3 linked regions of the Alligator mississippiensis genome follow. The protein of the gene in region 1 interacts with the protein of each later gene in a biochemical or structural test. Links are inferred from orthologs where the notes say so. Each region holds a gene or a part of one and is shown in the gene's direction. Other genes may lie near its edges. The genes, in order: RAB11A, RAB11FIP4 and RAB11FIP1.

Region 1 (10,953 bases):
TCTTCCCTGTGAAATCTCTCGGTCAAATTTTCTGCATCATGCAAGAGCTTTGGGTTAACAATTCATTTCAGGAAGACTGTAATCACGTACCAAGGAGGTGGAAGAACCAGTGCCTGACATCGCTCTGGAGGGTAAGTCTCTTGGCATCGTCGACAGCTTTTGCTCCTTGGGTTCTACGATCGGCAGGAATATTGCCCTTCAGACTGAACTAACAGAATCGGAAAACCAGCGAAGAATTTCAGGTTGTTACAGAAATGTACAAGGAATAAGAACAAACTATCGACATCTGAAAGATGCGACTCTGGGAGACTTGTATGCTGTCATCCCTGCTTTCTGGTCCAGAACCGCGGACTACATATGTTAGGCACATCCGGAGACTGAACAGCTTCTGCATGAGATGCCTGCACACGATTCTGAAAATAAAGTGGGAAGACAAAATACCGTACGCAGAGGTGCTGGAGCATGCAGGACTGAAATCACTGGCAAGAAGAGGAGGTTGCAATGGCTTGGCCATGTCAGGGGAACGGGAGGAGACTGTATCCCCAAGAATATCTTGTACAGTGAGATTCAAGACGGCCCTAGAAAGTGGGGTTGGCCTCTACGGCAGTGCCACGATGTGCGCAAAAATGATATGAAGTCTTTCAACATCAATGTAGAAAGCTGGAAGGAATGTGCAGAATCCTATCCAATCTGGAGGGAACATCTGGCGCTGGGTGCAGTCCAACATGAAGCAGCTTTGATCCAGAGGATGGAAGCAAAGCAAGACAGAAGGAAGCAGTGTGCTGTCGACTTGGACTCCGACTCAGACAACATATGGATCTGTGAAATTTGTAACAAGCTGTGTCACTCTCGAATTGGGCTTGTCAGCCACAAGAGGATTCATCGGGCGCCTGACGAGACCTCTTACACATATACCACAATCCAGAGGATTGACGGTTGCCTGTACAAGGTCTTCCAGAGCATTTTCTATTCTTTTGGAATAATAAACCCCATGTATGTTTGTAGAGGACACACAAGAAAATTAAGGTCTTCACGGAGTAAGTTGAGTTGTGGTTTCCAATCAATATCAATATACTGTATTAAAAAACCATTACTAACATTTCAGTGGCAAAAAAAAGCAGCAGCATTACGGAGGACTGGATGGCCCATTCATTCGAGTCAGGATAGAGGGCTGTTCAGTAAAACACAGTCATATATGAAAGTTTGTGCCTGCTATCTATCTATCTATCTATCTATCTATCTATCTATCTATCTATCTATCTATCTATCTATCTATCTATCTATCTATCTATCTATCTACCTACCTACTTTGGTTAGTTTATGAAGTACAAGTCTCCCCGACCTCTAGTAAAACACAGCCAGCCTAGTTCAGCAGCGACAGACACATGCACACTTTGACAGCTGTACAGTGCTCTAAGTGAGCTGAGGTTGATAGTTTCAGCAGACAGGTGCTTCTTCACAAGAAATAACACACAGGGCAACAACCACCAATCTTGTTTCAGCAGCAAAAGCAGAGCTTTGGTTAGCCAAGAGCCTATACTGTCTTCTCCGTGCCCTGGAACTGGTCCCTTTGGATCAAAACGCAGGTATCCCGCGGGGTGAGCAGGGTGGGGATGCTTGTTCAGCTGCTGCCCTGTGGATTGCCTTTAGCTCCAAACTGAGATCAGAGGAGGGGGATGTGAGAGGGCAGTAAAGAAGCAGGGGTGACCACTGGCCAGTGTTATCTTACAAGCGTGGAGCAGACTCAGGCCACACAAGTGCACTTGCAAGACTACAGTAGAGGCAGGAAAACAGTGACTTCATTTCCTCAAGTGTCAAGTCATTTGGGCAGCTGATTCCTGCAGAGTGGTGACAACATCTCCTGGTTCTCATTTACCAGAAAGATGATGATCAAGAGTAGAGGGTGTCAAAGATACGGCCTGTGGTCAGGATCCAGCCTGCAGAGCCCTATCATCTGGCCTCTAGTGTTGCCTGTAGAACTCAGAGTTGACCCACACGTTGCATACGATGTGCGCTGGGTCGGCCCATGTGCTGCACATGGTGCGTGGAGCTGGTTTGGGATGTGCTCTGCACAAGCAGCCCACACCACACTGGTCTGGGATGCACTCTGCATGAGGCGCCCCCGCTTCCAGGCCAGGCCAGGCCAGGCCAGGCCAGGTCGCACGCTGCATTCACTGCCTGTGCAGGCCTGGGCCAGGATGTGCTCCGCACATGGCACCTCAGTCCAGGATGAGTGCTGCACTGGATGTGCACTGGATCTAGCACGCAGGGCTGGACTGCAGGCCCTATCAGCCTCGCACCATTCCTCCAGCCTGCAGGGCCTGATGAGTTCAACACCCCGGATTCAGGGAAACAATTAATCTAGAGAGCCAACACTTTCTGGACCACTCCCTCCAAGCTTTCTCCAGCTGGGATGTATACTACATTTTTTGGTGTATAAGATACATTCCTCAAAGGGATTGTTGCAGAGAGTATTGCAGAAACATTTTGTTTTTACTTACATCAGCTTGAATCTATCAACCTTTAATACAATAATTTTAATTAATTTTCATTGCATAGCTTTAAGGTATAAGACACCTTCATTATAGGTCTCCATTTCACGGGAAAATGTATCTTGTTGGTCAGAAAATACAGTAGATATATTTGGTAAGGGGAAAATGGTCGTAGGATAATATCAGATTCGAGTCCCATGTTGTCAAAACCCCACAACTTGGGTAGAAGTAGGCTGATCTAATGTCCTGGATCAGATCCATCTCTTGTTATATGAACAGTAGAAGCAGGACGGGAAGAGAGTTTATAGCAATTCAGATAGACTTTCAGTAGAAAAATCTCTCCCTGCTCTGTGCTTTTTTTATAATGCCCACTTCAACCAGGAAACACCATGAAGGGAAGGACTTCAAGTACATTGCAGTCCTTTAAATTCAGTAAGGTCTGCTTAAAAAGGGAAGTCTGTTATTTAAACTGTCGGGTTTTATACTCTCTCCAGAGTGACTAATGTTGGGCTGGGGCTGGTGATGCCGAAAGTGACTCCTTCTCTTTTATAATTTACAGCCTTGATTGGAAAGCTCAGTGAATTATCTCTGCATAATTGCAATGATTCATTGCTTGTTAGAAAATTGGAAAGTATTGATTGGATTTCCCCCCTAGGAAATATTTCTCCTCTGGAAGAGCAGGGTAGGTTGCCTTTGCTCTGCTTTTGTCTTTCCTGCTTGTTAATAGAGGAAGCCTGTGGTCTCTGATCTGAGAAACAGGAATTTGGGTCAGCAGCCAGGCAAGGACAATGGTGAATTATTGTCACTTGCTGCTCCAGATCATTCTCTGAACTGCTCTCTGATGCGTTTTGCATGGATTGGAAATGTAGAGCCAGAAAACCTGCAGCCAACAACAGCAGTACTGAGTTGCCGACGTCCATTCCAGTTCCTTCAGCTCCCACCTCGAGTCACTCTGCACACCCCCGGGAGCCTGACGATCAAATCGGGGCCCTGCTTAGGTCAATGGCAAAGCTCCCGTTTGGTTTAATGGAGCTAGGAACCTACCTGAAAGCCTGGGCTTTGGGCCCTCTTTTAGGGCATATAGTAAAAAATGCGGGCACCAAGTCCAGCATCAAATGCCCCTTCCATGTTATTTATGCTCCTAATACGTCTCATTTGCATGATAGGGTCATGCCTGTACACATAGCTCATGCATGTACACATGAATAGTGCTGCTGCAGTTGCCTGTTTCAGCAGCTAGCGGCTGAGTTTCCAGAAATGGCTGTAAACATAGCTATGACTATGCCCCCTGCTTCTCTCCCGCATCAGACACTTGAGACCTATCTGAACCCCAACCCTTGTCTGCGCTCCAGACATGTGGGGTGTCTCTCAGCTGCTCATTGCAGAGAAGCATGTTTCTGTCTCAGCAAGGAATGTGAACCTGGGTGCAGCTGGGGGTTTTCCCCTGTAGCACTTGCACAAGACTGAAGCTCGTGGCACTAACTGGGTACAGCAACATAGGGAAGGGTACTGAGTCATCCCCCCCACATGCTCCCAATCCCTGACCTGCAGAAGCCTCTGTGATTGCAGCTCGGAGCATACATGCCCCGGGGCTGTGAGTGTACCTCATTGCTAACACACTGGAGCCCAGATAACCCACCCCTGGGTCGCCCAGTGCCGCACTGCTGCACCCTCTCCTTGGCTTGCACCACCCGTCCCATGCAAGTGGACTGTGTTACCAGGCCTCCCCCCACAGGAACGCCGACGTTTTGGTGCAGTGAAGGGATGCATTACAGCACGTGGAAAATGTACATACAAGGTACTTTTGAGATCAACTGGTAAATAAGAACGCCATTAATAAAGAAACCCACACAGGAAAAACTTCTCTTGAGTAGGAGAGCTCATCTAGCTTTCCATAGCAATGACAGTCTTTTAAAGCGTGAAATTAAGTTTCTGAAGTTCCAAGTTAAGAGACGAGTCTTCGTAACGACCAAGTTACAAAGAGAGCCCCACAAACTCTTGGTCACCCCACGGCAAGTCCAGGGGTTCATCACAATGGTGCAGTCCTTAATCCCTAGGTCCAGCACCAGAGCTGACCATAAATAAACTCATCGTTTGCTCAACTACATCTATTTTAAAAGCACGTCTTTTATGCTCTTAAATATAAAATATATATAAAATATATATTATAAAAACATGATCTATATATTCTATACTGAAGACCACAATCCTTACAATCACATGCATGACAAAATGAACATTATGACAAGCACCCCATTGGAGGCTGGCACTTTGCCAGCCTGCAAGGGAAAAGCCACGGTTTCCCACCTTTTTCTCCTTTAAAAGAGAACCCATTTTTAACTTTTTCACATATTCTTGCGACTCACGTTTGGGTGGCGACCCATGGGTTGAGACACACTGCCCTACAGAACAAGCACACGTGGGACCATATCCAGGCAGGCGTGTTTGCTTTAGGCAGAGCTCATGCCCTACATGGTTTGCCTTTTGTGTAGCCTTATCTGTCGGTAGCAAAAGGGTCTAATCTCCCCTACCGCACCCTGCTGCTCTGTCTTGCAGGAGGGAGTCTCCCATCCTCGCAGAGCTCGCTTGCACGGCTGCCCTGCAGCTCAGCCCGACACGGGGCCGCTCGCTCTCCCCGCGTGCTCACACCACCTCCCTGAGGCCTCAGCCGTCCCACTCGTGAGAGGGTAACACTTTAGGCCAGTGGTTCCCAGCCTTTTCAGACACGAGGCAGACTCCAGGCATCCCCGGGACAACACCAGCTCTTCGTTTGCACTCTGTTTTGACTACAGAAAAATTTGACGCCACTCAAGGCAGCGATTCCCTGGGCAACTTCCATACCCACCACTCCCAGCCTGGACAGCTGCTGGGCCGCCAGCCACGGCCACTGCTCTTCAGCCTCAGCCCCGCGCGCCCAGAGGAGCCCCCAGCGTTACCCCAGAGCGCTGCGCTCCTTGCTGGGCTGCAGCCGGCTGCCCCGTCCCATCCCGTCTCTGCTTCACACGTCTCCGGAGGGGCCGAGCTGGAATAGCGGGTGTCCCGCCTGTACGGGCCCAGCTCCTCCGGGCTACACTTATCCTAAATAATAAGGAAAAGGGACCACGATAGACTGTCCTCTGCCCTACCTCCATTCTTCTTCTGGGCTTACTTTAGCCCAGCCTGATGCTGGTGTCGTCTGCTCCCTCCTGCTCCGTGACCTTCCCTTTCTCCACACGCGCGGCCCCTCTGCCAAGCACATCATGCTGCCCCTTCCTAAACCCACGGTGCGTCCACGCCCTGGCTGCTGCGCTCAGCTCTAGGCCCAGACCTGGAGAAGGTGCGGAGGAGGGCGAGGAGGAGGATCCGTGGCACCGAGCGGGCCGACAAGGCGCTTGGTGGCGAAGGGACAGTCCGTGGGGACTGACCGTTGACGCCCCTTACCGGACCAGACCGGAGCCGGGCGCTGCGCGGAGGAGCACGCGCTCAGCTGAAAACGCAGCAGCTCTTGTTCACACGGCGCCGAGTCCAGGGGGTGTCGCTGCCACCCACGGGGGGGTGTGGGGGTCCGGGGGGGTCTGGCTGCCACCGACGGCGGGTGTGGGGGTCCGGCTGCCACTGCCGGTGGGGTGTGGGGGTCTGGGAGGGGGGTCTGGCTGCCACCGACAGGGGGTGTGTGGGGTCTGGGGGGGGTCTGGCTGCCACCGACGGGGGGTGTGGGGGGTCTGGGGGGGGGGGTCTGGCTGCCACTGATGGGGGGGTGTGGGGGTCCAGGGGGATGTTGCTACCACTGACAGGGGGGTGTGGGGGGTCTGGGGGGGGGTCTGGCTGCCACCGATGGGGGGGTGTGGGGGTCCAGGGGGATGTCGCTACCACCGACGGGGGGGTGTGTGGCTGCCACCGACAGGGGGTGTGGGGGGTCCGGCTGCCACTGCCGGGGGGGGGGGGGGGGTGTGGGGGTCCAGGGGATGTCGCTACCACCGACGGGGGTGCGTGGGGGCCCGGGGGCGGGGTCTGCCTGCCACAGCGGGGGGGGGGCGCGTGGGTATCAGCAGTAAGCTGCACGTGTCTGGGAGTGAAGTGAAAGGTTGAGTGCCGCGCGCGGGGCAATGCAGTGTAGTGCAGTGCCGTGCACTGGGGTTTCCCTCCCCCGCCCCGCGCTGCCCCGCCGAGGTGAGGGCGCGCAGCGGCCCCGTCGGACCGGCTGGGGGGGGGGGTGGGGGGGGAATCGAGGGAAAAAGATCAGGTTCCACCGAGATTTGAACTCGGATCGCTGGATTCAGAGTCCAGAGTGCTAACCATTACACCATGGAACCGCCTGACGCAGGCGCGCCCCGCCCGCCTCTAGAGCTTCCCGCGCCGGCTCCCTGCACACGCGTAGTAGCGTCTGCCCCGCCCCCCACCCTGCACGGGCAGCCTGGGGGGGCGGGGGCAGGCGCCCCGGAAGCAGTACCGGCAGCCACGCCCCCTCGCCGGCCCGGTGACCCCAGAAGCGCCTGTGGAGGAGGAGGCGGGTGTGGGGGGGCTCAGAGCGGAAGTGCCGCAGCGCCAGGGCGGGGCCCCGCGTCCGGCTCCTCAGTCCCCGGCGGCGGCGGCTCGGCTCGGCTCAGCTCGGCTTGGCTCCGCTCCCCCTCGGCACCATGGGCACCCGCGACGACGAGTACGACTATCTCTTCAAAGGTAAGGGCCGCGCCGGGGGGCATGTCCCCTCCCGCCCGGCCTGCGGGCCCGGCTCCCCGCACCGGGCGCGGGGCGGCGCCGGCAAAGGCGGCTCCCAGGGCCTGGGCTGGGCCCTGCGCTGGCGGCGGCGGGATGGGGTGGGGTCCCTCTACCTACCTACCCACCCACCCACCCACCTACCTACCTACCTGCACACACAGGGGTAGACACACGCACCCCCAGGGTAAGTCTCCCCGGCCTCCTCCTGCACTCCCTGGGCGGGCTGCCTGTCTACCCCCCCCCCTTTTTGGACCTATATACGTGTGTACACACACACCCAGCCCACTTTTTTTATTACACATATATATTCGCAAGCTGTTGTGAGCTGCAGCTTATTTCACCAGCTGCTGCAAAAGGGTGGGTAAAAAGCAGAGTGCGAGGAGAGAAATTAGACTAGGTGGGGACAGAGAAGGGGGGAGGGGAGGGAAGGGGCTGGGCCTGGACAGACAACCCTCAGACCTGTAGGACCAAGGGTAGAGTCCCCCTCTGCCTGAAGAAGGGCGTTTGTGCCCGAAAACTTGCGAAGAACAACTTTTGCAGCTGCTTAGTTGGGTAGATGTGATGTCGTCTATTAGACCCAAGAGCCCTGTCCGTCCAGGCGCGAGGGTGCCTCCCGCGTGGAGCCGGGCCGCGGGGTAAGACTAGTTACCCCTGCGCAGGCCTTGCAGCAGATGCTTCTTGCTTCCAAGCAGGATGATTAGAAACAAGGAATGACTCACTTTTTAAGGCAAAAGAGTTATCACGAGCTTGTATTTTATGGCTTCTTTTGCAAGGCTGCTGGTCTGTTCCCAAAGTGCGGGGGCCGCTGTGAAAACGTTAGGATGAGCAAAGATTGGTGGTGATGGTGGACAGGGTCTTGCACAGTTAAACGGTGCGTCCCTGAGCCTGGCTAAACTCCTGTTTGGGTCCGGTACTGGTGTGACACATGTATCTCGGTGCAGTAGAGTACGTTGTGTTACTTACCTGGCACTGCCTTTCTGCACTTGCACACCCACCGATCTCACTTCCTGTCGTCTCGCTTCGCGCGGCTCCCAGGAGAGCAGGGCAGCGCTGCCCAGGAGCTATGCAACTTCTTTTTTTGGTAGTTCGCTTGAACTTTATCACAGCGTAATATAAATGCTCTACTTCAAGTTCCACTTTCCATCACGTAAAAAAAAAATCAGCAATCTGTTGCAAATGTTCGCCAGAAACGCTGTAAAAGCATGCAGTTGAAGATAAGTTTGAGGTTACTTACTGCTTCAGCTAGCATTGAAAAATCAGTAGCTTGAAAAATATTTTAAGACCAGTGTGGAGTTAGAAGCAGATTTTCAGGAGACTATTAACTGCAAGCAGCTATATCTAGAATATTATTTTATCCCCTGTGTAGCGAAGGGGATGTTAGTTGGAGCAGATGCCGTATGGCAAAGGGGGAGTACAGAGTTCTTTGCTGTGCGTGTTTGTTTTTACCTGCTTGAAACCCAGCAAATGAAAATTGTCATTATTCATTTGGTTCATTTTCATTTGGAAAATGGCTTTCCTTACCCCCCCCCCAGCCTTTGATGGTGCTAATCCAGATTGAATTTTATTAGTAGATGTTAATTACATTTGAAACAAAGCCAGGGGGCCTGATTTCAACAGTTGTCCCATGTCAGTCTTACAGCCCAAGTTGCAACATGCCTATAGATAAGTCTTTTCTCGTCATTAAGGTAGATTTGCTTTTGGTGCATTCCCATTTACACTGGGAAATCACCAACTTCTACAAAATGATGTGTAAAGTGGACATATGAAAACGTGTCATCTTTACATCTTCTGTTTACATAAGACCGATGATAGTTGGCTTAAGGTAGCTGTTGGACATAAAATTAGAGGCAAATCGGGTTGAAAATGGTGGTTCTTATGGTATGAGCCCCACATGCTACAGTTCCAACTGAATCGGAGGATTTATAGCAAAACGGCTATCCCCTGACTGTTGAATGCCTAGGACATGCGGTTTGTCCCCATGACAATGCTGTACTACACAGTGGGCTGTAGGAAAGGCAGTGATGTCCCAGGGACTTGGAGCGTGAATCCCAAAAAACAGACATGGTCTATGTACCCTTGTCTGTCTGTGTCACATCACAAATATTTTTCCCCAGAAAAGTGAGGTTAAAAAAAACATGGTGGCATAACTAATACACTAATTCAGGGTGGCTTCTGAATTTCGTAATGTCGCTTTCTGACCTGGATTATAGAACCTGATGTAATCTAAAATATCAAGGAGGTACCCTAGACAATCTCAACTGGCTTTAACTTGTTTGTGTCTTTTTTTTTTCCCTTGTGTTTTGGATATTATGTAATCGTTAGAAGGTTTGGCTGCAGTGTTGGTTACACCTTCTGCGAAACTCCAAATTTGAGACAAGTGAACCAACAAACTCGCTTCTCATTTCTGACAATCAACTGATTTAAATATGCCAGGCCAGAGGAGTTGTACTTCCTTCCTTCTTTGCATCTTACTCATTTTTCCAGCTTTATTACTAAATCAAAAAAACTCCTCTGAAACTGGACAAACTCGCTGGTCTGGATTTCACACAATGCACTGTTGTCTCATATTTGCTCTGTTTATAGGAAAAACCCATCTCCTAAAAGCTTCTGGGTTTTTTAGCCTGCTAGTAAGCCCTAGATCAGAGGCTCTTTTTCCATTACAAATTAAGGTATTTCCCTCTGATGTAGTTTAATTACTGTCTCCTTTGGATTTAAGCTTGGAGAAATAGATTAGTAGCAGTATCTTTCCAGCATTTGTATTCCAGTATCTTTCCTTCTTGCATACTCTTGGAGGGCTCCTCCCATGTTTCAGAGGGATAAAAATGTGTAGGTACAGGGCTTCAGTTAGATGGGTTTGATGTTCTAGATGAAGGAGGTGTACCATTTATGATTGATACTTGTAGACAGTGCAGTCTTGTAGTACCAGTTTAGTTAATTTAACTGGAACCTGAATGTAATTTAAGCTAGCTCATGACTTTTATTTTAATATCAAATGTTTGATTTTTAATTCAGGTTTATAAGAAAGAAGAAAAGTTGGGTAGTTTAACTTTTGTCTGTCATTTTTTTTTCCTCTTAAGAGTTTGGTTTTCATGCAATGTAAGGAGCAGAGTTATATGGTCATGTTTTGGACATCTCTTGTTCTAGTTCAGGCTCTGCTGGGTTTTCATTCCGTACCTCTGACATGTCATTGTGCACAAATAGTGGTGTTTGCAGTTGTGTTTTTTGTTTTGCTTTGTTTTGTTTTTTAATCCCCAAAACCTCCCTAATCCTTAGCTAATTGCCATTGGTGTAAAGCATGGTCTGAATGCCAAGTAGTTCACTGAAGCTAACTGCATTAACAAATCATTAAAACCGTTAAAAGCTCCCTTCTAGAAGAATGGCCAACTATTGGAGAATAGAAATTCACTTATGTGAATTTATTAGCTCTTACAGGTTTTGGGACAAGGTAGGGTTCAGTGTTCTTGCATTTAAAGGACCATGTTTAAGTTTTTTAAACTCTTTAATTGCCCCTCATGAGACAGTGACTGTTTCCTAAAATAAACAGATTTGGGGTAGTGACAGGTCTGTTATTAAAATAGACTTTTGTACAGTTTAACAAATCCCAGTTATTCTCTGCTGTTTTGAATAGCAGTTAGCCAAATATTCCCAAAGACCAGATCACTAGTATTGCTTTCAGAGATTAGGTAAAAATAGCAAGAGTTAGGTTCAATCCAGAGGTGCAGCAGGCAAAAATGAACTCATGAAGGAAAAATCATTTGCAGTCTAA
Region 2 (10,509 bases), on another chromosome or scaffold:
GGTGATAAAAATGTTCCTTGATTTAACTTATTATTTTATTTATTTTTGAGCATCAGGTCCAAAACATCCCACAGTCTCTTTCCCCGGTTCTCCTTTCTCTTCTTCCTCCTGTTTCCCCATTTCCCACCCCCCATCACCCTCCAGTAGCTTGAAACCCACTGAAAGAACCTAGACCTCGTATCCTACTTTTAGCATAGCAGCTCTTTATCATCATTAATTACAATGTCCCAGGCTTGAAGGTCACTTTTTATTGGCTGAAAACTAGAAGACTCGTGGTTATAAAGAAAGATTCCCAGTGAGAGTGACATGTGCCCCCAATAGCAACATTTATCTCTAAAGATGTTGCTATTGCATGTTGGAAGGCTACCAAAATTGCAAATGCTAAGGTCATCCGCCTTTGGCGATGCAGTTTCTACGCACAGTTTCTGACACTGGATTTAAATCTGCTAAATAAGTCGAAATGACATTGATGGGAAAACTGCTGATTGTAATGAAACTTTGCAAGTGCCATCAACACCCTTCAAGGCCTTCAAGGAAACTTCTGGTCATTCAGAAGGAAAGAGATGGCAGCATTACCAGAGATGATATTTCAGGTGCTGAAACTCTTACTATTATGCTTCCTTTGGAACTTGAGTTCCACACAACTTCACATCTAAGATCCAGGGACTTCTGACCGTGAGCAGCATAGTATGATTCAGATGATACCTTAGGTAGGGGGTTTTAACTCAGAAGAAATATAAATCCTGCACAGTACGAACTGGAAGATCCCTGTTGAAATGCAGCCTCTACCCCATAGCATCATACAAGTATTTTTAAGAAGGGCAAAACTTAATTAAAGCTGGGGTGGAGAGAAGAAGGTTAGGTGCTGGAATGTAGGTGATTGGGAACCTAAGTTTTATGTTTCATGTAGTTTCCCAAAGTCCCCTGCTTCTGTAGCACCAGTGCTATATTGGGACATTTGTATGCCAGCATGAATGACACCTACTGAGTCATCCTAACCATCTTCTGCTCTCCGTGCACTTCACTTGCAAATCATTCATGCAAGTGTTTAACAGCCCCAGGCCTTTTTAGCTTATCTTAGGAGAACATGGCCTAGCATGGACAAATGCACACCTCATTGAGCATTAGACCCAGTGTCCTTAGAAACCTTCTTGCTTTTAGATGATGTATTGCTTTTTTCAAAATGTCTAGTAACTTTATGAATATACTATTTATAGATTTAAAAAAAAAATTTACAGGAAAAATAATAAGATAACTGACTCTACAGGGGATCAAAGCTCAGCAGCTGCCATATTCCAGACAGATTGATTTATCTGCAGAGTCTTTTTCCCCCCTTCGCATCCATAATTAAAATCCTCAGTGCTCTGAGCCAGTGACAAAACTCTTTGAAGAGCAGTTATCTTCAGAAAGGCAATATATACTATTATTTATAGTCCAGTAGTGGGTAAGGACTTCATAACAGTAGACTTGGTACAAACCAAGACTATAGCAAAGACTTTAGAGTCGTATGTAGAATATGGTATCTTTGTTGTCAACAGGCTACCTCCCAGTGGGTTTCCAAATTGTATCTCCTCTGTTCATTGATAAAAGATGAAGTTGGGCCTAAAAACAAAATGGTAAAGATCCAAATGCTTCAGGGAACAGGAGTGTTTAAAATCCAGATCTGAATCCAAATGTTGCCACTGAGCCCATATCTAAATGTGAACACCCAGCTATGGGGGACTGAGCTGGACTTTATTTTGTTGCATAGGCTGTTTCTACACAGGGCCCTTTAATGCACATTAGCCTAAGTTAATGCACAATAAGGGTGTGTGTCTACATGTGCACACCTTAATGCACATAAAAAATGGCAAATTTAGGGTATTTGTGCATTTGCAGGTATCAAATTTAGGTGCAAATCTTTAAAGCACTAACCTTAGTCCCAAGGCAGTCAACACATAGCATTTATGTGCTTTAATGCCTGCATGTGTAGACACCTATCTAAACCTGCTTAATGCACATTAAGATAATACACATTAAATTAAGGCGTGCTTAAATGCACATGCAGACACCCCCATACATAACCAGCTGATTTGGTTGACTAAATCCCACTTCCAGTATTTTTATTACTGGTAACAATATATGAAGCAGAAAGAGCCTACATTTGGTTTAAAATCCCATGGTATGTTTGCAGGGAAGGGCAGGCAATTAAAAAAGTATCTTCTCATTTGTGAACCAAGCAGATCTGATGTGGTGTCAGTACAAGACAATGCACGAGGTACACCCCCCCCCATACCATTTTTAGCAAGTCACTTTTCAAAGCAGAATTGCATTTAAATTATCTGTCAAATATCTCTCCTGAAGATACAAATATATCATGTTTTGTGGAAATCTCTGATGAGAGCTTGTCTGCAAACTTTTCTTTTAGAAATAGAGTGAAATGTGTGTTTGCCACAAAAATGTTCTGTAATATAATAAGCACCATGAAAAACAGTTGAGGCTGCTATTTGTTCCAGATGATCTTACTCAGTGTTTTAAATGCAATTCACTTCTGATAGAGCACCTTGCTCCAGATTTAACACCCTCTACAGAGGAACAATGAAAATGTCCCTCTACAGAGAGACATTAATGTCCAGCCCCAGGAGGCAGATCTGGCACCTCTGCCACACTTTGGTACAGTTTAACTCCAAGCACCTTGAAGTCTACAATGGTAATGTGTCCGTTGACTTAAGAAGCCTGATCTAGAATTCACTTCATGGGCTTCTTTTGTGATGATGGGTTAGTTATTTGACCTCTCTGAAAGGGGAATAAATAATACATTCTTTCCACGCTATGCAGTTATAATGCTCATCTCGTTAATATTGCTAACCACTTTGGAAGTCATTATATACAATAATTCATAATGATATTACTATATATTAACATGTAGCCTCTTTTCTAACCAGGTTTAGATGTATTAGCAGCCTTGAAATGTTAAATATCCTGCCTTTTTTTTGTATATAATTCCAAGTCAGTGACGTTTTGCGTTGAGATCCTGCAGTGATTTTTAAAGGGCCACTCATTGTTCAAAATTCACTGGTAGTTTAACTTCTGGTTGCTTTGTGCAGCTCTGAAGGAACTGTGTAACACAGGCTTTTATGGTATGATTCTGAAGTCCATGCTGGAACTTAGTGTACAATTCCCTGTTGATTTCTGATGAGAGCTGAGAGGCTGGATCCTCTGGGCAGCTTGGGAAAATCTCAGGCAAAATGCTTTCCTCCCTACTGCACACCCTGTTGCTGACAAGAAAAGTGAACTCCCACACCCACAGCCCATTCTTTCATGCTACATCTTCCTACTATGGTCACAAGGCAAGCAAGTGTAGTACAGCGAGGACGCTGAGCTGAACATCTGGGCCACTCCCAGCTTTCAGATCTCAGCCCTTAACTCCTGGTATCCAGTGCCTACCTCTCACGTCTCAATTCCCGTGTGTGCCGTTGGATCAGCTCCCAGCCGTCAGAGCTCAGCTCAGAACGCAGCTGTCTGCTGCGACAGCTCCTATACACTTCCCAGCTCTCTGATAGCGGTGCTCTCACACATCTCCTGGGCACTCAACTTCCCTGCGGCAGCTCGCAGACTTCAGTCCCTGCTCCCCAGTCCCAGCTCAGTTCCCAGGGCTTTTCTCTAAATGAGTCCCTGTTTACCAAGAAATGGAAGATTGCAATGGACACCAGGCAGAGAGGCTTCATGCAATCTTTGTCACGTGTTATTCCCCAACAAGGACTCTATTTCTACCGACGCAGTGTATAAGTAACTTCCGTAGGAGTTAATGGGAATTCACCTCTAGTCTCCTGTTGGAGAACACAGTCCCTTTATTTCAATAGGAGCATCTGACATAGTGAGAGCTCAGCTCTCCCCAGGTAAAAGGCATGAGCCTTTGGTCCATAAAGCTCAGAACCCTGCTTTTATAATAATAACCTTTCAGTCTCCAGTAGCAGCCCATAAAACTCATTGCTTCCCTTTTTCCTGTTCTCAGCTCATCTTCCATCTCAAGTCTTCTCCCCTCTCCCCTGCCCACACCTGTGTTTCCCAGTTGACTGTTTCTACCTTCTCGACCTCCATTTCAAAATCTCACACCGCAGATCTCAAAGCTACATTTAGTCAATTTTCTGTTTGGGGCAAAAATACAATTGGAAAGAGACCAGAAATGGAGGTCTTCGGGTTTTTCCGATACTTGGGGTTAAATCCAGTCTGCAGATGTATTCCTGCTTTTGTCAAAAAGGACGTGTCTCTCCCCTGGCTGGCCAGGTTACCGTTTTGTGATTTAAAAAAACAAAGGAACTTCGCCCGCGTGGTAAAAATGCACGTGCGCAGGTGAAAATTTGCACTCCAGTGACTCGCAGTCGGTCTCTCCCATGCTTGTAAACATCAGCAGAAAAAATGTGGCTCCAAGTTTTTATAAATGTCAGGACATGGATTAATTTACAGGGTGTTTTATGGAACTTTTATGGTATGATTAAGGAAATGATACGGTGACAGTCTCCCAAAGCAACTCCTCACCCTCTCTGCAGCCTTTTAAATTAAGGAGCTTTGGTGGAGGCGGGTACGTGGGAAGCCTGCATTGCTACTATGGCTTGTGCTGTCACTGTTTTGTGGATCAACAGGAGACTTCAGCTTACCAGGCTGTCAAGCCTGCCTTCTCCAACAGTATTATATCTGCACATAAAAATTAGGATGATGCCTGTGTTTGAAGAAACCAAACTGCTGGGGAGGGAGTGCATATCTCCTGGGAAGGAGGGATTTGGATGGGCTTCCTTCCCTTGTGAAATTTCCAGAGCTGTTTGGTGCAATGTTGGGCCTTGGTTATCTCAACAGAGGAACTGATAAAGGATATTTCAGCTGGTAACTGAAATCTTTAACATAAAGTATTTTTAAATGAGCTACCTTATCAATAACTTGCAAAACATTGCTCGTAAAGTCACGCGAGCCATAAAATGAAAATAATGGCTTCTCGTGCTCGCTAACGATGGCAGCGTGTCTAATGAACCAGACTCCGAGCCCCCGAGGAGGGAGGGTCTGCCTCAACCCCTGCCCGAAGGCTGTGTGCAGGATTTACAAGGCCCAGACCATGGGGCACAAACATGGGTCCATCTGTTGCGGGTCAGCGGCTTCCTCTCGCCCCAGAAAACTTGTAGACGTGGACTTTTAACGTGGCCCAAGGGAGAAAAAAGGCAGGACTAGAGGGGGCAAATCGAGAGGGCATCGTTAACGTTGAGCCCGTGGGCGGCCGTCAGCAGAAATAACACCAAGGCAGCTGCACCCGTCAGTGTGGGAGCACCACGTCTGCACCCGGCGGCGTAGCTTCCCCCTCTGTAAACCAGCCCGGCTGTGCCAGGCAGGCTCTCCCAGACTGCGGCAGGGTGGGGGGCGCTTGGTCCACGCCAGGCCCTTAGACATCTGTCCTCCTCCCAGGGCACCGGGCCTCTCCCTGCCGCTCCAATACGCTCACGGCCTTTCCGCCAGCTCTCCCTTAGCGCCAAGGAGGCACAGCGCCAGGAGACACCTGGTGCCAAGACCCCCGGGCCGGGGACACCTGTGGCTCAGTGCCCACTGCTGGCCCCTCGGCCCCAGGGCTTTCCCGCAGATGCCCTTAGCTGCTGCCCCTGAGGTCACCTCGTTCCAGGCTTGCCAGCTCCCCCCATGTCCCTGCCAATCAAATTGCCCCCCCCACACACCCCTGCCAATCAAACACCCCCAGTGCACACAGCACTCCAATCACACCCCCCTGCACACACCTGCCAGACACAGCCCCACCTGCATGCACCTGCCAATCACAGACCCCCATACATACACCTGCCAATCACAGCACTGCCCCCCACACCCCTGCCAATCACAGACTCCCATATCCCCCCTTGCCAATCACAGACCCCCATATCCCCCCTTGCCAATCACAGCCCCTCCCTCACACCTGCCAATCACAGACCCCCACATCCCCCCTTGCCAATCACAGCCTCTCCCCACACCCCTGCCAATCACAGCCCCTCCCTCACACAGATGTCAATCACAGCCCCGCCCCCACACACCCCTGCCAATCACAGCCCCTCCCTTACACACCTGTCAATCACAGCCTCGCCCCTCCACACTCCTGCCAATCACAGCCCCACCCTCACACACCTGTCAATCACAGCCCCGCCCCCAGACCCCTGTCAAATACAGCCCCCCCACACACCTGCCAAAGCCCCACAGACACACACCTACCAATCAAATCCTCCAACACACACACCCACCCGTTCAAGCCCCCGCATCCCCGCCAATCACAGCCCCCCCCACAGACCTGCCAATCAGAGCCCACGCAGCCAATCAGAGGCCTCCGCACACCTGGCTGGGCCCGCCCCGCGCTGACGTCACGGCGCGGCGGGAGGCGGCCGGCCGGCAGGCGGCGGCGGCGGCGGATGGCGGCGGCGGCGCTGCGGGGTCGCGGTTGCGGCCGTTGAGCCGCGATGGAGCCGGGCGGGCCGGCTCGGCTGCTGCGGCGGCGGCTCCGGGAGGTCTTCGACGCGTGCGACGAGGATGCGGACGGGCTGCTGCGCGTGGAGCGCTTCGTGGCGCTGGGGCTGCGCTTCGGCCAGGGCGACGAGGTGAGCGGGGCGGGGCGGGGCCGCCCTGGGGCCTGGGAGCAGGTGGGACGCGCTGGGGGGCACCGTGGTGTGGGTGTGTCAGGCGCTGAGCAGGTGAGATGCCCTGAGCCCGGGCGAGGCTGTTTCGTGCCCACGGGCGGACAGCGATACGGCGCGCCCACGGGTGGACAGCAATACGGCGCGCGCCCACGGGCAACACAAATGGAAGCACAATGTTGTGCCACAAGCTGTGGCGGGGCCCTGGCGTCGGTGTCATGGGAAAGCCGTTCCCTCGGGGTGGCGAGAGCCAGTCCGAGGGGAAGGGCGTCCGTGCAGACGGCAGCAGGCGCTTGTACGCGGGACGGAGGTCGTGCTGTTCCCTGAAACGAACCGGCGGTGGCGAAGTGTTTGGTTTTGTGGGGGTCGGCTTGTCTCTCCAGTCCGCTGCTCCGCAGCCAGCTCCGGCGCCAGGGGGGGAAGGAGGCGGCCTGGAGCTGGTGTCAGGAGGAAAACTTCGGACCCCTTGAAAATGCAGCGAAACAAATGACCCTGCAGTTTTTGAAAGGAAGCGAGATCGTAGGAGCGCTCCGGGGAGGGTGAATTCGCTCTGCTTGTCGAACCAAATCACTCTTCTTTTTTTGGCTCAACCCTGGTAACAAAGCACGGATGAATGAAAGCAGAGGAGCGGGATTCGGGAGGCTCTTTTGCTTGCATAGATCTGATGTTGAATGTTTTCTCTATCGGAGACCACGGTGGTTGTTCAGTAGCCACCGAGATAAGCAGGGGAAGTTAGTGCTCATAATGAGCAGTATTGATTTTTTGTTTTTGTTTTTGTGTTTTTATTTGTCTCCAAGTTGTATATTCCTATACAAGCAAATGATCTGAATTTCTAAGCCCTTGTGGTGAGAAGCATTTTCCTGTGGGCGGTTTTGTACTCTTCTGTTTTTACCCAAATCGGTAGCCTTCTCCCGTGGCATTTAGGAAGGCTGGTGAAATCCTGCGGGCTGTGTTTTGTAGGAGGTGGGACTTAAATGTCTATCAAGGTCCTTTTGGCTTTAATATCTAAGCAAATGTATAAGGCTGTTGGGAGGGGACCTGGGGCCCATAAATGAGTAGATAAAGGAGGATTCAGGTGGCGTTAGATTTGGTTAGGTAGACTGTTTCTTCTTGGCAGGTGATCATCTTAATCAGCAAATATGCAACTTTAAGTTGTTTGAATTTTAGAATGAGATTAAATTGTGAATTCAAGGTCTGTAGTTGTGAAAATGATCAGTTGTGAATGGTGTATTTTAAATATTGGGAGGAGCCTAGATCATGAACAAGCAGCAGAGAAAGAAACAAATAATATGCAAAGAAAGAGACTGAATTTTAGGCTGTGATGTGGGCCCAGCTGAACAGGTGGATGGCAATGAGATGGGTCCTCCACTTGTAACTGAAAATGTTTGAATAAGATATTTACACAGATGGGAAAGGGGGCCCTACCTGTATAGCTTTAAGTAATTCAACTTGTCTCAGCTTTCCTTTTACATAGCTAGTTTGCTCCTCTGCTAATTGAAATCGTTGGAAAGACTTCCCTCGAGCTTTAATGAGCTTTGAAACAGTGGTAAGTTTTACGCTGCTGTTAGACATGGACCATTCAGCATTTCATAGCATTTCACACCATTTTGATTTGGGGATGCTCGGTGTTTCAGGATTATAATTCCCTGCCTCTACAGTTTGGTTTTGCAACAGAGTCAAACCCAGAAAGGTGGTGCTTTTTTAGGGCTTTCATTTTGATGGGATCTAAATATTGTCACTTGTGACTAAAAACTCATGAGAACAGCTTCTGTGATCTCTGTGCACCTAAATCTGAAGCCAGATGTAAACTTTGATTCAGTCTCGAACTACTGCCCAAACCTGATCTGCATCTGAACACTGCGTCTGAACACTGCATCCTGTCACATTCTTGTAAATGTTGGCAGGAAAGAACAACTCTGGGGAGATCTGCGAGTTCACAAGGAGGCAGTTAGGAAAGGGAAGCCGGTGTTGTGGTCCCTTTTGAAGTCATTCCAACTTTAAGGGATCCTTGTATAGTCAGTAGTGCGGTTTTCCTAGTCTGTTCTTGTCTAATTGTAGCGTTTTGTCTTGATGTGCCAAGATGGTGCTTTTCAGATGCAGTCATGGGGCCGCAGTCATCAGACATAGTGGACTTGAGACCTCAAAGAATTGTAGCATCCTTCACTCCCAAAGCAAGTCATTGCGAATGGCACTAATACACCGACGGAGGGTTTATCAGAAGGGAGTGCAGGGTGATGAGGAGCGTGGGTAACTGGAGACAATAAGATGAGTGCGTGGGCAAGTTCGTAGGGAAAAATTGCTAGAGAAGAAAGACGGTGGCCATAGGGGAACCTGTGAGCAAGTAGATAAGAGACAGAAGTGTGTGATAGAGCCATATGGAAAATGTGGGGAAGGAAAGAAGGAGGAAGGGAGGCACAGGGCCGTCCAAAATTGGAGAGCGCATTGGGGCCCCAACTATGGCAAGCAGTGATGTTGTAGTCCTCCCACTCATCCCTGAGTACCAGCTTTGCTGGGGAATAGTGACTTGGATTTTAGTCTGTCCCATGCTTCACCGGTGGACGTGCACGTGTGTTGCTGGTGCTTACATGAGAGGCATGGAAAACCCAGAGGCTGGGCCGTGTGATATAGGCAGTTGGAAACATCATCTCTGGAGCTGTCACATGAACACATCTGATGCGCAGGATCACCACCAGAGCCTTGCCGTGGGACCGCTGCATCTGTCTTACTGTGAGCACCTCTCTGCGGGCAGACAGTGACTTTGCCATTCTGTTCGAAGGGCTGTTAAAAACGAGCTGTGTTAATTCTGTGTCGTGGGTGACGCAGGCAGGCTGTGAGAATCTGCTTCCCAGAATAGAGCAGCGATTTGCAGCTTCATGTCCAGAGGGTCCCAATAACTTCTGGGTGGAAATCTGCTGCAGTGTGTCTGATTAAATTAGACTGAAAAGATGCTGCTGATGAGCTCCCTGCCCCCTTTGACACGTTCCATTTCAGTGTCTGCATGTGCCAGTGGGGACCAACCCGGCTTCCACCTATAACCCATGGGGAATCTTTTCAGTGGAAGCTTCACCAGATTCCTTATCCTTTCCACTTCAAGCATGTTGTACCTAACACTGAAGAGTGGACTCGGCCCTGTTGTGACTCTGATGGTGAATATCATGGATACCAATGTCCAAAGGGCTGCACTAGTGTGAGAGAGCAAAAATTTAGCTCACTTGTTTTTCTCTCCTTGTTCAGAAAAATCTTCCTTCTCCTCCCATCCTCATCTGGTTGTAGCCAGAATCAATCATCACTTCCATTTGACCCTGAGTTACCCACCAGGGCTGGTGAGATTAATGCAGCACACAGTTTTGCCCTCTTTGCGTTTTTTTTGCTTGTTGTTGGTCCACACGAGAGAATTTATCCTTCTGCAAAGATCCGCAGCTTTTTGAAAACTACCTGAAGGCAAAATGCTGCAGCAAAGCAGCAGCTCTTCTGCTTGAGCAAAATAAGCCTTATTTTTACCTGCAAAGTCAAATCATGGAAGGGGAGCTTTAAAATATTTGTGGCTGACCTCTTTTGTGGCCTTTTATTGCCCCTAGTTGTGAGAAATGCATTTCTACTGCACTGTTGAAGACTCACTCTAAGCACAAAAAAAAAAAAAAAAGAAAATCACTCTGCTCCTTCCACCTCTTTGTTATATCCACTGAGGGAAGTCTTGGCCCCATTGAGGCCAGTGGGAGTTTTGCCAGGATTAAACCTTACTACAGTATTATCAAATACAAATCATGTGTTACAAACAACTGTGTTGATTTCCTGTGGTACCTGTAGCAAGGGGGACAGATTTTTCAGCAGTACAAATTAGAGATAAATGCCTCTCTTAAATCATCACAAGTACAAG
Region 3 (11,006 bases), on another chromosome or scaffold:
CATGAGACCTAGACACCACTCTAAGTTGGACAAGCGGTACACAGGGATAGACACGGGGTGAATTTCCCCAAGGTTTTCTCTTGTGATTGTGCCACTTACTACTTTGGCAGGGTAAATTAGCCTGCCCTGAGCTCTGGGTTGTCATGCCTGGACTTCTCCCTAAACACGAGCAGCAACTTGAGAGCTGATTTGGGTTCACTGGAGTCTGCAGCATCAATGTACTCTCCACATCCCTGGAGGGAAGAGACATGTCTATGCACACTGGCAACCTCCCATTTGCGATACTGCACCAGTGTCTGCTTTGTGCTTCCAGTGTGTTCCCAATGGCTGGGATTAAGCAGGAGTGGTCCTCCCCAAGACCGTCCCTTCATTATCATTGCTCACCATCTAATGGGAGCGCCTGTTGTGCTGGGTGCCGCACACGTGCACGGTCAGACTCAGTTCCTGCCTCCCAGAACTTACACATCCAACGAGCAACACAGACAAAATGAGGGCGAAAGGAAAGATTATTACCCTCTTGTTACACAGGGGGAGCACAGGCATAGAGATGGTTGCTAACCCGACTTGGATCTGAACACCAGGCCAATGCCCTAACCACATTATCTTTCTTTCCTTATGCTTTCTGGGATGGACCTAACCAGTTCCACCCCTACTTTGGGATTCTCTAAGTCAATCTGCATGCTGATTGATTGATCCCTTGGTGTGCGAGAGGGTGCTGCTGTCCAGATGTCCTAATTTCCTGGTAAATGATTCTGGCTTGACTGTGCTCCTCTTCCCAGCTTTCCTGCTTTCGTGGGAAACCTCACTCCATCATTTGACATCCTTTCTTGAGATCAGCGAGGAAAACTGCTCACTTTAAGCATCCACAATGCCTCCCTGTCTCTGGGGCCACACAATCCTCCCAGGGCCATCTCTTGAGACTTTTGTTCTCTTCTCTCGCTAGCCTGCTCCCTCAACTGGCCCAGCACTCTCTGAACCCAATGGAAAATTCCTGCTGAGTAGGGGCTGGTGTGCTAAGGAAGGTCTTATCTTTTACTGCAACCTATTGAGAAATCTCTCATTCCTTCATCAGGTTGCCTTATTTTTAACACTTGCCTGCCTAGCACTCATCCCGTGGTAGCCTCCGTCAACTTGTTTTATGTCTAGGTCAAAGCCCCTGGCTCTTTTGGTAGAAACCCTTCGTACATCCATAGATCCCATAGCACGTTACTGTGTGATCTGTCCAGGGTCCATAGATCCCATAGCACGTTACTGTGTGACCTGTCCAGGGTCCATAGATCCCATAGCACATTACTGTATGATCTGTCCAGGGCTTGAATCCTCGTTCATCACATCCTCTGCTTGCATTTTTCAACCAGGATCTCCCACATTCTTCCAGTATCTGCTTTCCTGTAAGTCAGCATAATTTCACCATCTTCCAGTGGGATCTTATAAGTACACTGTGTCTCTGCAAACCTAACCCGATTACAGTCACCAAGCAAGAGGCTCCAGCCTGCTTTGAGATCAGCCCTGTCAAAAGGAAAAATGTTCAGCTGCCAGTGGTTTGCACTAATAATCTCATTTCAGAATTGCTGAAACACTTTGCTGGAGTGCAAGGACAAAGTGGACTGAGACAGCTCCGAAACAAGGGGAAAGGACAAAATGCAACAAGTCTTGTTATTGGTTATTAACATCGTGCCAGCAGCTGGCACAAATACTGTATAACACATTTTAATAGGTTCACAATTTACTAACAGAGGTTAACGTGGACTGTATATGAGCAGCAGAAGGCAGTACTGCTGTTTAGCCCCAAATGTAAAAGATGCTGCTTATTTAGGTGAACTGCCGAAGGACAAGGAAACATGGAATTACACAAGCAACAGGTACTGAGTGCCCCTTTAGCCAGGTCAAGGTCCTTCCCCGATAGACATGGTAGCAGGGACAATCACCGCCACCCAGATAGTTAAGATAAAAAGTGCATAAAGAAGTCTGAACGCTGGCCTAGTAACCAAGGTATGCAGGTGCTGATGTGATAATCCGAGCGTGTTACCAAGAAGCCTTCGTTAATCCCTGTGCGTATAGCATTTTAATTTTGTAGTTTGCATTGCTAGACTCATGCTGCCTAGTGCTGACATCTCCCACACTTGAACTCAGCCTGAAATTGGAAAAACTTAAGCATGACCAAAATGCTGAGTAACACAGGGCTGCGTGCATGGTAATGATACCTAAAAGTCTCTTTTTTGTTTTGTTTTGATCTCATGACACTGCACGTTCACCCTTCTCAAAAGACAAGATAAACAGAGCTATTAAAAGATAAAAGATCTTAAGTGGCTGACTTGGGGAGGTGAAATACATGCATGACTAATTATTTGGTTTGCAATTTGAAATAGGTTGTTGCTGTCTAAACTAATCCAATAAATAAGCTGCCAGGAATTCACTTGGGATGGGAGAGCTAGAAAGGGGGAAGTGGCAGTGCTGGCTGAGGGACTGAGAGGGTTTTCTGGAATAGGTTCACATTCAACGGCTGTGTCATAGGACGCCCTAAAAGGGACTTTCATCCCAAATCTGAAAGACGACCAGCAGTTCAGCAACAGGTAGTGTCCTGATCAGGGCTGGCATTTACTAACTGTGAAGTTGCCCTGCCCCTGAAACGAGCTGGTCTCTGGCTTCAGGGCTCTCAATATCTGCCCGTGGAGCATCCAGGGCTAAGTCCCATGTTTTGTTCCCCAAAAGCAGAGTGACTTAACATAGGCAAGATAGATCATCAGTCCCACTTTAAAAATGGAAGAACGGGAAGCGAGAGGGGGACTGGTATGCAGAGCAGTGAGTCAGCAGAGACCAGACTCTGCTCCGAATGATTAGAAGCCTTGTCTCCACACTACGAAAGATAAATGTATTGGACCACAGGGAAACCAACAAGTGAGAGCCACCCAAGGTAAAAACACAGTGAAAACATATATTTTTTTTAAATAATTTTTTTGTGTTCTGGTCCAAATCAATTCCAAATCTGTGAGTCAGTCAAGTTTGCCCTACTGCTGGCAAACATCCTCCACCTCACCTAGGGCTTCAGATGTTTCTAAATCCTTTGGCAGGCATCCTAGGTGCAGGCCCAAGCTCGGAGACTTGGGGTTCAGATGCCCCCGTGTTTCGCTTGCCCTCAGCCATAAGGCCCCAGGGGTAAGCCTGGAAGGAGTCTCCCATTTCCATAAAGTGGGCACAAAGCCAAGATCTTCCCACTCCAGCAGCAAGTGGGAGCTTTACTATACATTACTTCCGTGGGTACTGTATGGTACCTACCCCATACTAGAAAAGCAGCCATCCTTGGGTGCGACTTAGTGGTCATGGTGAAAACATGGTGCTTAACAGATACTATGAGTTAAACCAGACAAGGTATAGCTGTGGGAGAAGAGTGCCGAGTGCACCGTAAAACTGAAGTGCCTTGCCGTCATGGTGAGTTCACCTTGCAGGGACTTATCATGCATTACCTTCTGTGCAGTGAAAATGCCTTTTTTAGCCGTGAAGACAAGGGATGAGGTCATTCTGAGGATAGAGGCCTGTGATGTCCTCCCTGCTTCTGCTGAGCCACATAAGTGCATTTCCAAGGTGTGCAGACAATGGTGTCTGATTGCAGTAGGTCAGTGCTATCTATGTAAGAAGCCCTCAAGCACGGCGCAGTGTATTACAGGTATTTGTGACAAGCTGTGAACAACGTACATGCACTTTATGAGCTGGGCCTGGCCCTCTACAGCAGTGGGGAGGGGGCATATTTTCAGTGCACAGGTGGCCGGAGAGTCTAAGCACCTGTCTGAGCCCAATCCAGGTGTGAGTTCCCCTACAGCAAAATCCATCTCACCTTGCTTTGGCACATTCACATCCTGGGTGTAGCTTCCCCTCTAAAGCTGGGCTCCTTAGCACAACTCTGACTGTGTGGGGCTTGAGGAAAGCTACATTCCAACTATATGGGGTACGAACCAGCTTTTCAAGGCTCAAACCATCACAGCGTTACAGGATTTCATCTCAGGCCCTTTCCAGTGCTTGGTCCGATCGGCAACTGGGACTTGCCACTTTTTGCTGAGACACGTCATCCATCCACTTAGAGGCACACACGGCCACGAGACTGTGGACTTCAAAGCTATGACAGGTTTCTGACTAAAACACCTGTCATGGGGCTAGGAGTGATTCTTCTCCACTGGGACTTTAGGCATGTATAATTATGGCGTCGAATCCTATGCTGGGGGAGAGAAGAAGGCAACCTTTCTCTCCCGGCTAATGAAACAGCAACAACAAAAAGATGTTGCTCACAGGATTGGAATGGTAGAATGAGGAGTTTAGTGAGGTGTTTAGGGCAGGTGAGGTGATCAAAGGTGTGCAGTGAACTAATTTGTCACATACCTCGGCTGTTTTTCACGTGGCCTGGCTTAGAGATTTCACTGCCACATACCTTGTGTGTGTGCACGCGAATGCGGATGCATACTGCCATTGCTCTGCCTTGCCTGTCCAGCAGATCTGCTCTAAACAGTGAGAGCCTAGTGATGTCCAATGTTACTAAGCTAGCAAAGTTTCCATTTAAACTCCTAAAACAGTCAGCATCTTTCATGCTCAGTCTCTGCTATAAAGGTGGAGCTAATCTCTTCCCATGCTGGATTTATGAATGCAGTTCAGCACTGTCTGTATGTCAGGGGTCAAAAGGAAAGCTCAGACACTTGACTCATGGGTCTTGGGTCTACCGGATTTTGAATTGGCTTCTAGCATCCTCCTTTAACTGGCCATAGATCCTCAGGGGAAAAAAAGGCCTGGTGACTTGGATAGCAAGGTACATACAGACATTAAGGGATTGGAGTTCTAGGATTAGGAAAGGTTGACTCGCCCGGGAGCTGTAACATGAATCATTAAAACCAACATGCTGAAGAAAACAATTTGGAGGTGTCTGGTGCATTAGTGTGGGTGTATGCATGAGATATGCAGAGAAGCTCTGTAATTTCTTTTTCCATCAGACAGCTGTTTTATGAACAGACATTCAGGCCTCTGTCTTACTAGGCCTCCAACGTAAAATGCAGCCCCGTGACATAGTGACATCATATGATCAAAAGAGCAAAAACTGAAAAGATATCACATTTACCCAAATAACTTTGTTTGCCTATGCCTTTAGACCAACACGGCTACAACCAATACACCTAAAACTAAACAGTGAAAGCCTCTTTGACACCAGAGAATTTTCTGAGCCTTTGCTAATGTTCATGTGAAGAGCTTTTGCAGGTGATTTCTTTTATTATCTAGCACTTGGCTCCCAGTCAGTTGAAACCAGGGGCACAGAGAGTCTGAGGGGAGGGACAGGCCTTTTTTTTTAGCATTGTGTTAGTTACCCCAAGTGAGGACACATCTAAGTGCTGGAGCGCAATGTGTCTTGCGAGCACGCGCAGATCATGCATGGGGACCTTAGTTGGTAGCTGATATAAGGAAGGGCAATAGGTGAGATCATTGTTTACTAACTCATGTGTAAATGAGTGACTCCTCTGTTCCTCAAATAAAGCAGAACCCCACCCTCCAAGCATTACATTGGCATGTCACACCGAAACTCCCAGACAGCAAAACTGCATTCTCCACCTTCCGGTCCGTCTGCTGTCTGCTGGCAACAAGCTTTCTTCGGATCTGACTGAGAAGCAGAGGGGCCAGGGAGGGAAGTGCAGATGGAGGGGAAAAAGCTCAAAGCCACGGGTCCTACACACCCACGTAGAGTCACAGAAAATGAGGGTGGAAGGGACTTTAGGAGGTCACATCTAGTCCAACCTCCTGCTCAAAGCAGGACCAGCCCCAACTAGATCATCCCAGTCAGGGCTTTGTCTAGCCGTGTCTTCAAAACCTCTAAGGACGGAGAGTCCACCACCTCTCTGGGTAACCTGTTCCAGTGCTTCATGAGAAAATTCTTCCTAACATCCAACCTTAAACTCCCTCGCTGCAACTTGAGACCCTTGCTCCTTGTTCTGCCAGCAGTCCAGCCCCATCCTCATCCACATCGGTGCTGCAGCTCTTTCCTAGGCGCAGTCGGTCAACGAGACCGGAGCCTCGAAAGCTGCGCGAGACCGATGCCGGCTGCAAAGCTCCCAGTTAAACAAACGTGCTTCATTTAGAAAAGCTGCTCCCCTGAGGAGCCTTGCACGGGCCTTGGCGCTCCTAGCCGGGGCACTGTCCCCGCAGGGATCGGGCTTGTGTCCAGTTCTGCGCGCTGGGCGCAAGAGCGCCCTGGTTCGTGCAGTCACCTGCCGCCTTCGGTGCTTCTGGAAGTGAACAGGCCTCTTTCTTACAAGCTTTATTCTGGACGGACAGAACCGGGACTGCCAAATACACGATCTACCAAGCACAACGACCCTGGCTGGGCGCGTCTACACGTTCATTAACGTGCCTGAGACACTGAGACACACTGAGTTTAAGACTTCCTTAATAAAGAGCTAAGGAAAGGTGGTGTGCCCAGAGTTGCCGCTGACTGCGCAGTTGGTGCGCTGCGACGCTTCTGGTGTAGACGCACCCGCCCTGTGGGACTCCTCGCCTGGGAGCCGAGGGAGGGGCACGGGCACGAAGCCTGCGGGAAAGAGGCACAACACACCCCCTTACTCCAGGGGCTTGGCCCCGCCCACCCTAGATAGACCCCGCCCACGCCCCGGCTTCCTACCGTGACCACGCCCACTCCCTGACCTTAGTGGCTCGGCCCCGCCCAGAATTCTTACCCCGCGGCTCGGCACCGCCCATTCTGACGTCACGGGCGGTCCCGCCTCTCGCGAGAGCGGCGCTAAGCAGCGGCTGCCGGGGTAGCAGGAGCGGCGGCGGCGGGGGCTCAGTGCCGCCATGTCGCTGCCGGGGCCGGGGTCCCCGCGCTGGGCGCCCACGCACGTGCAGGTGACGGTGCTGCAGGCGCAGGGGCTGCGGCCCAAGGCGAAGGGCGGCGGCGGCAGCGACGCGTACGCGCTGATGGCGCTGGGCAAGGACAAGTTCGCCACGTCGGTGGCCGAGCGCTGCCTGGGCCGGCCCGTGTGGCGCGAGGAGGCCACGTTCGAGCTGGCGGCGCGGCGCGGCGGCGGGGGCGCGCCCGGCCCGGTCCTGCAGCTCACCGTGCTGCACCGCGCCCTCGTCGGCCTCGACAAGTTCCTGGGCCGCGCCGACGTGCCCCTCGAGCCGCTGCTGCACGACGGCGGCCGCCGCCACACGCGGTCAGTGCGGGGCGTGGGGGGCCGGGGTGCGAGGGGTCCCCGCCCCGGTGACGCCTCCTCCCTTGTCTCTCTCTTCTCTCTGCCAGGCCGCAGCCCGCCGCTCTTTCGGGCTCTCTCCTTGCCGTGCCGATGGGTAACGAGCTGCTTCTGCTTCCCTGTCCTTCCTCCTCCTCCTCCTCCTCCTGGCTCTGTCTCTAGCCCCCCCGGAGGCCGCGAGGCCAGAGGTGCGTGGGGCGGCGGGTGCTGGGGCGCACGATGGAGGGGAGGCTGAGGGGACTGGGCTTGCTTGGTGTGGAGAGGGGCAGGGGGGTGGGCTAGTTGTGACCTCCTGAGGTCCCTTCCACCCTCGTTGCCTGTGACACTTCACTTCTTCTTGCTCGTGCTCCATGGCAGTGTGGGGTTCAGCCTTGCCGTGCAGCCCTTCACGTACCACAGACTGGAGGGCAGGGTAGGGAGGGCGCGGGGACGGCTTTATTGAGAGGGTCTGGAGGAGCACAGAGAAGGCCACTTGTCAGAGAAGTGCCCACGGCTGCGTGATGCTTGGCAGCGTACTACAACCTGTACCCCTGACGCTTGACAAAGTGTTTTACGGGTTGCTAATGTAATAACATTGCTTCTCTGCGTGTTGATTCATGATACAAGCTGCTTTGCCTAAAGTCTTTCAGCTCCACTGTCGACAGTGACTCTATTTAAGTGCGTAATTTGTGACTGAAGCAATGGAGGGGAAACAGCTCTCAAAGGACTTGGGCTAGAGGCCTTGAAATTGTCCCGAGTTAGTTTCAGGGCTGCTGTTCCTGGAGTACAGGTACCGACTGAGATGGGTTGGAGCTGGGCTGTTCTCGGTGGTGGCAGACGACAGAACAAGGAGCAACAGTCTCAAGTTGCAGCGAGGGAAGTTTAGGTTGGATGTTAGGAGGAATTTTCTCACCTGGAGGGTAGTAAAACACTGGAACAGGTTACCCAGAGAGGTTGTGAAGTTTCCATGCTTCGAGGTTTTTAAGACCTGGCTAGGCAAAGCCTTGACTGGGATGATGTAGATGGGGCTGGTCCTGCTTTGAGTAGGGGGTTGGACTAGGTCCCTTCCAGCCCTCCCAACCCTCATTTAAACTACAGACAGAATCACAGAGAATAAGCCCATAATGTTTCTTCTCCTTGCCACTTCACCCCTGGTCCTGAGGCTCTGCACTTTAGAGTACATTGTCTAGGATATCTCAGTGTGTAATATTCATGCTGCTGTTTTTTTATGTTAAGTGCCATCTCGTCTTCAGAAATGAAGTGAGCTGAATGAATAGGACCAGCTTTGCTATCTTAATCTACTGCACATTGGGTTTTGGGAAGACATTGCTGTGAGTTCATGTAGTTGATTAATGTTTCTGGTCTCTTCTTCTCAAAGACTAGAAATATTTAAATGAAAGCTTAGATTTGGAAGTAGAGTGGCTTGGAGCATTGGGGAGCTGGGAGAAAGTAAAGATAGGAGTGCTGAAGAAGAAAAATCCCAGAAAAATAGTTTCTGGGATCCCTCTGCTCAGCAGCCATTGGCTCTCATGAGACTTGCTCACTCTACAAATAGGAATTTATCTCCTAACTGTTGGTCCTGCCTGTCAAACTGGGTGTGTGAATATGTGGCCAGTAAAAAAAAGACTCTGCAGATTTGATTAAGCCAAGAGCTACCCCTAAATGTAAAATATAATCCCATGTGTTGGTATTCTTGCACAGCTGCTTTCCCTATAAGCTGACAGCATTACATGGCTGTTCTTTTGGGGCAGAGGCTCCATTTTCCGGATCCTCTTTGTTACATTGCACCACTTGAGAAAAATCCCTCCAGAAGGGGAAGTGAGGAAACTGCAGTCTGTAATTTACAAGAAGGGAGGATCAGCTAGCTTAATGATTGCAAAATGTTTTGAAGATGACAGCTGTATATTAAGCTACGCATGCGTATTCAAGTGTAATCATGGCCTGGAAGGTAGCAGTTCATCCTGATTTGAGTTTCCATGGATTAAATGGTCTAATTGGTAGTAAAACATGCAGGAATTTAGAGCAGGAGTGTGACAGGTGTGGAGTGGGCAAGCTGAAGCAAGAAGTTCTTTAAAAAAGAGTGTTTTTAATTGCAATAACTGTCCAGCTGTATTGAATACCCATATATCAGGTATGTCAAACTCACCTGATGCCCCAGGCTAGATCCTGACCATGGGACTGCTTGGAAGCTAGATCCACAGGCCATACGTTTGATACCCCTGCTGTTTAAATCTCTGTATAAATCTCGAAAAGTGGAACAGGTTGCACAGGGAACAGCAAAACCGAAGCCTGTCCCTGCTGTCATCAGAATGAGTTGCTATGGAGATAGATGGGCACAAAGAATTGATCTTATAGCCAGTGAACAGGTATAAGTGAAATATTAATAAGGTCTCGTATTGAAGTACTCTGAGAAGTAGTCTTAAAATGGAAGAGAAATACAGAAAATTACACGGCAGAGTTCTTTCTAAGTAGAAAGCCCTGGAATGTGCTTGAAGGGGTCTTATGAACATGAGAGCTTGTTCATAACTTGTGAATTGATGCCTGATTGTATAAAGTCAAAGCAGTCCATTATCATAAGCATAATTCAAGCAAGTGTGTTTTTAAGTAGAATATCACTATTGCTTTAGATTTTTATCCAGAATTGTGTGGAATGTTTTATTCCCTCCTTACCCCCTTCCTCTCTCCCCCAATAATTTTGTTAACTTGGATTTTAAAACCTAGTTGCTGACTCAAGCAGAAGTGGCATGCAGGCTCCTTGAGCAAATCGGAAGGGGGCAAAGCCTTGTAACATTTGAGTTGCTGTCTGTGAACAAGCCATCTGTGCTTGCTGTCAGACTCTGTGGTTTGTCAAGGAGAGAAATCAAGAAGCTCTAGGACCACTATAGAACTGCTTGGCCTCCTTCCTGGGAGAGGTGGCTCTTGGTTCTGGACAGAAGGCTGTCTTTGTTCAGTCAGGGTGAGGTGTATATTGGGAGGCCACAGTTTCACACCACAAACTGTAAGTGGTGTGAACAAGTTTTAAGACAAACCAAGGTTTTCAAAAGCCTTAGAAGGCTGTTAGAGATTTTAAATATCTATTTGGCTTATTTACATGGATGCACAATGCAATAGTATACTTGATAACTGCTGTATTGGTAACTTGATCAGCTGTCGAGAGTTTCAAATTGCAGGTTGCATGTGATGAAGTACTTCAAGAAGATAAGGGAAGAGAGGAGTGTAGTCTGAGGAATGTTGCCTCAATTCCAGTTCTGCTTGTGTCTCTTTGAACCTGAGGGGAAAGCGGACATACTCTTCTTCTTTCCACCCTCAGATGAAGGCAGAAAATTCATTTCTTCAGTCACCTTAAAGTACTGGTTCTGCATGTCCTGCATTATTCAGTGAAACAGGAGCCACCCTTCTCTTTAACTGCCTAGTCAAGTAATGTGACTGCCATTGAACTGCCTAAATCGCCTATAATGCGCTTGCAAACATTGTGTTAAATAACCTTTATAGGGAATATAACTTGCGTTGGAGGTAAGCAGTGAACTAATTCTTCTTTGTCAAGCTGAAAGCTTCCTTGTCATCAGGTTGCTGGCTTTCTTATTTGGAAGAAATGGCTATATTTATTAAAATAACCATTATTTTCATTAGTTTGCTTCCTTGTAATTGAATCCAGAGCATATGTAATTTTGTTACTGAGTGCTGACATGTGCATAGTCAGTTGAGTAATTCCTGTGGGGGAGGTAAGTACAGGTTAGTTTGAAATATTGCACTTGAATGCTGAAAGTAATTAGATTGAAGCAGAATAATTCTTCTGAGAAACTATGGCAG

What was found.
Region 2: the proteins of RAB11A (region 1) and RAB11FIP4 form a complex in vitro, tested with the Homo sapiens proteins (2 studies listed by BioGRID, with this or other methods). The link is inferred for Alligator mississippiensis from reciprocal best matches to the Homo sapiens genes RAB11A and RAB11FIP4.
Region 3: the proteins of RAB11A (region 1) and RAB11FIP1 form a complex in vitro, tested with the Homo sapiens proteins (2 studies listed by BioGRID, with this or other methods). The link is inferred for Alligator mississippiensis from reciprocal best matches to the Homo sapiens genes RAB11A and RAB11FIP1.

Annotation. Positions count from the first base shown.
Region 1 is NC_081834.1:5,471,841-5,482,793, reverse strand, and holds the start of RAB11A (ras-related protein Rab-11A), read left to right. Parts: upstream 1-6,989; 5' UTR 6,990-7,108; coding exon 7,109-7,148; intron 7,149-10,953. UniProt on the Homo sapiens protein: The small GTPases Rab are key regulators of intracellular membrane trafficking, from the formation of transport vesicles to their fusion with membranes.
Region 2 is NC_081831.1:7,596,567-7,607,075, reverse strand, and holds the start of RAB11FIP4 (rab11 family-interacting protein 4), read left to right. Parts: upstream 1-6,436; 5' UTR 6,437-6,458; coding exon 6,459-6,596; intron 6,597-10,509. UniProt on the Homo sapiens protein: Acts as a regulator of endocytic traffic by participating in membrane delivery. Required for the abscission step in cytokinesis, possibly by acting as an 'address tag' delivering recycling endosome membranes to the cleavage furrow during late cytokinesis.
Region 3 is NC_081830.1:18,615,863-18,626,868, forward strand, and holds the start of RAB11FIP1 (rab11 family-interacting protein 1), read left to right. Parts: upstream 1-6,748; 5' UTR 6,749-6,819; coding exon 6,820-7,181; intron 7,182-7,203; exon of another isoform or gene 7,204-7,405; intron 7,406-9,790; exon of another isoform or gene 9,791-10,709; intron 10,710-11,006. UniProt on the Homo sapiens protein: A Rab11 effector protein involved in the endosomal recycling process. Also involved in controlling membrane trafficking along the phagocytic pathway and in phagocytosis. Interaction with RAB14 may function in the process of neurite formation.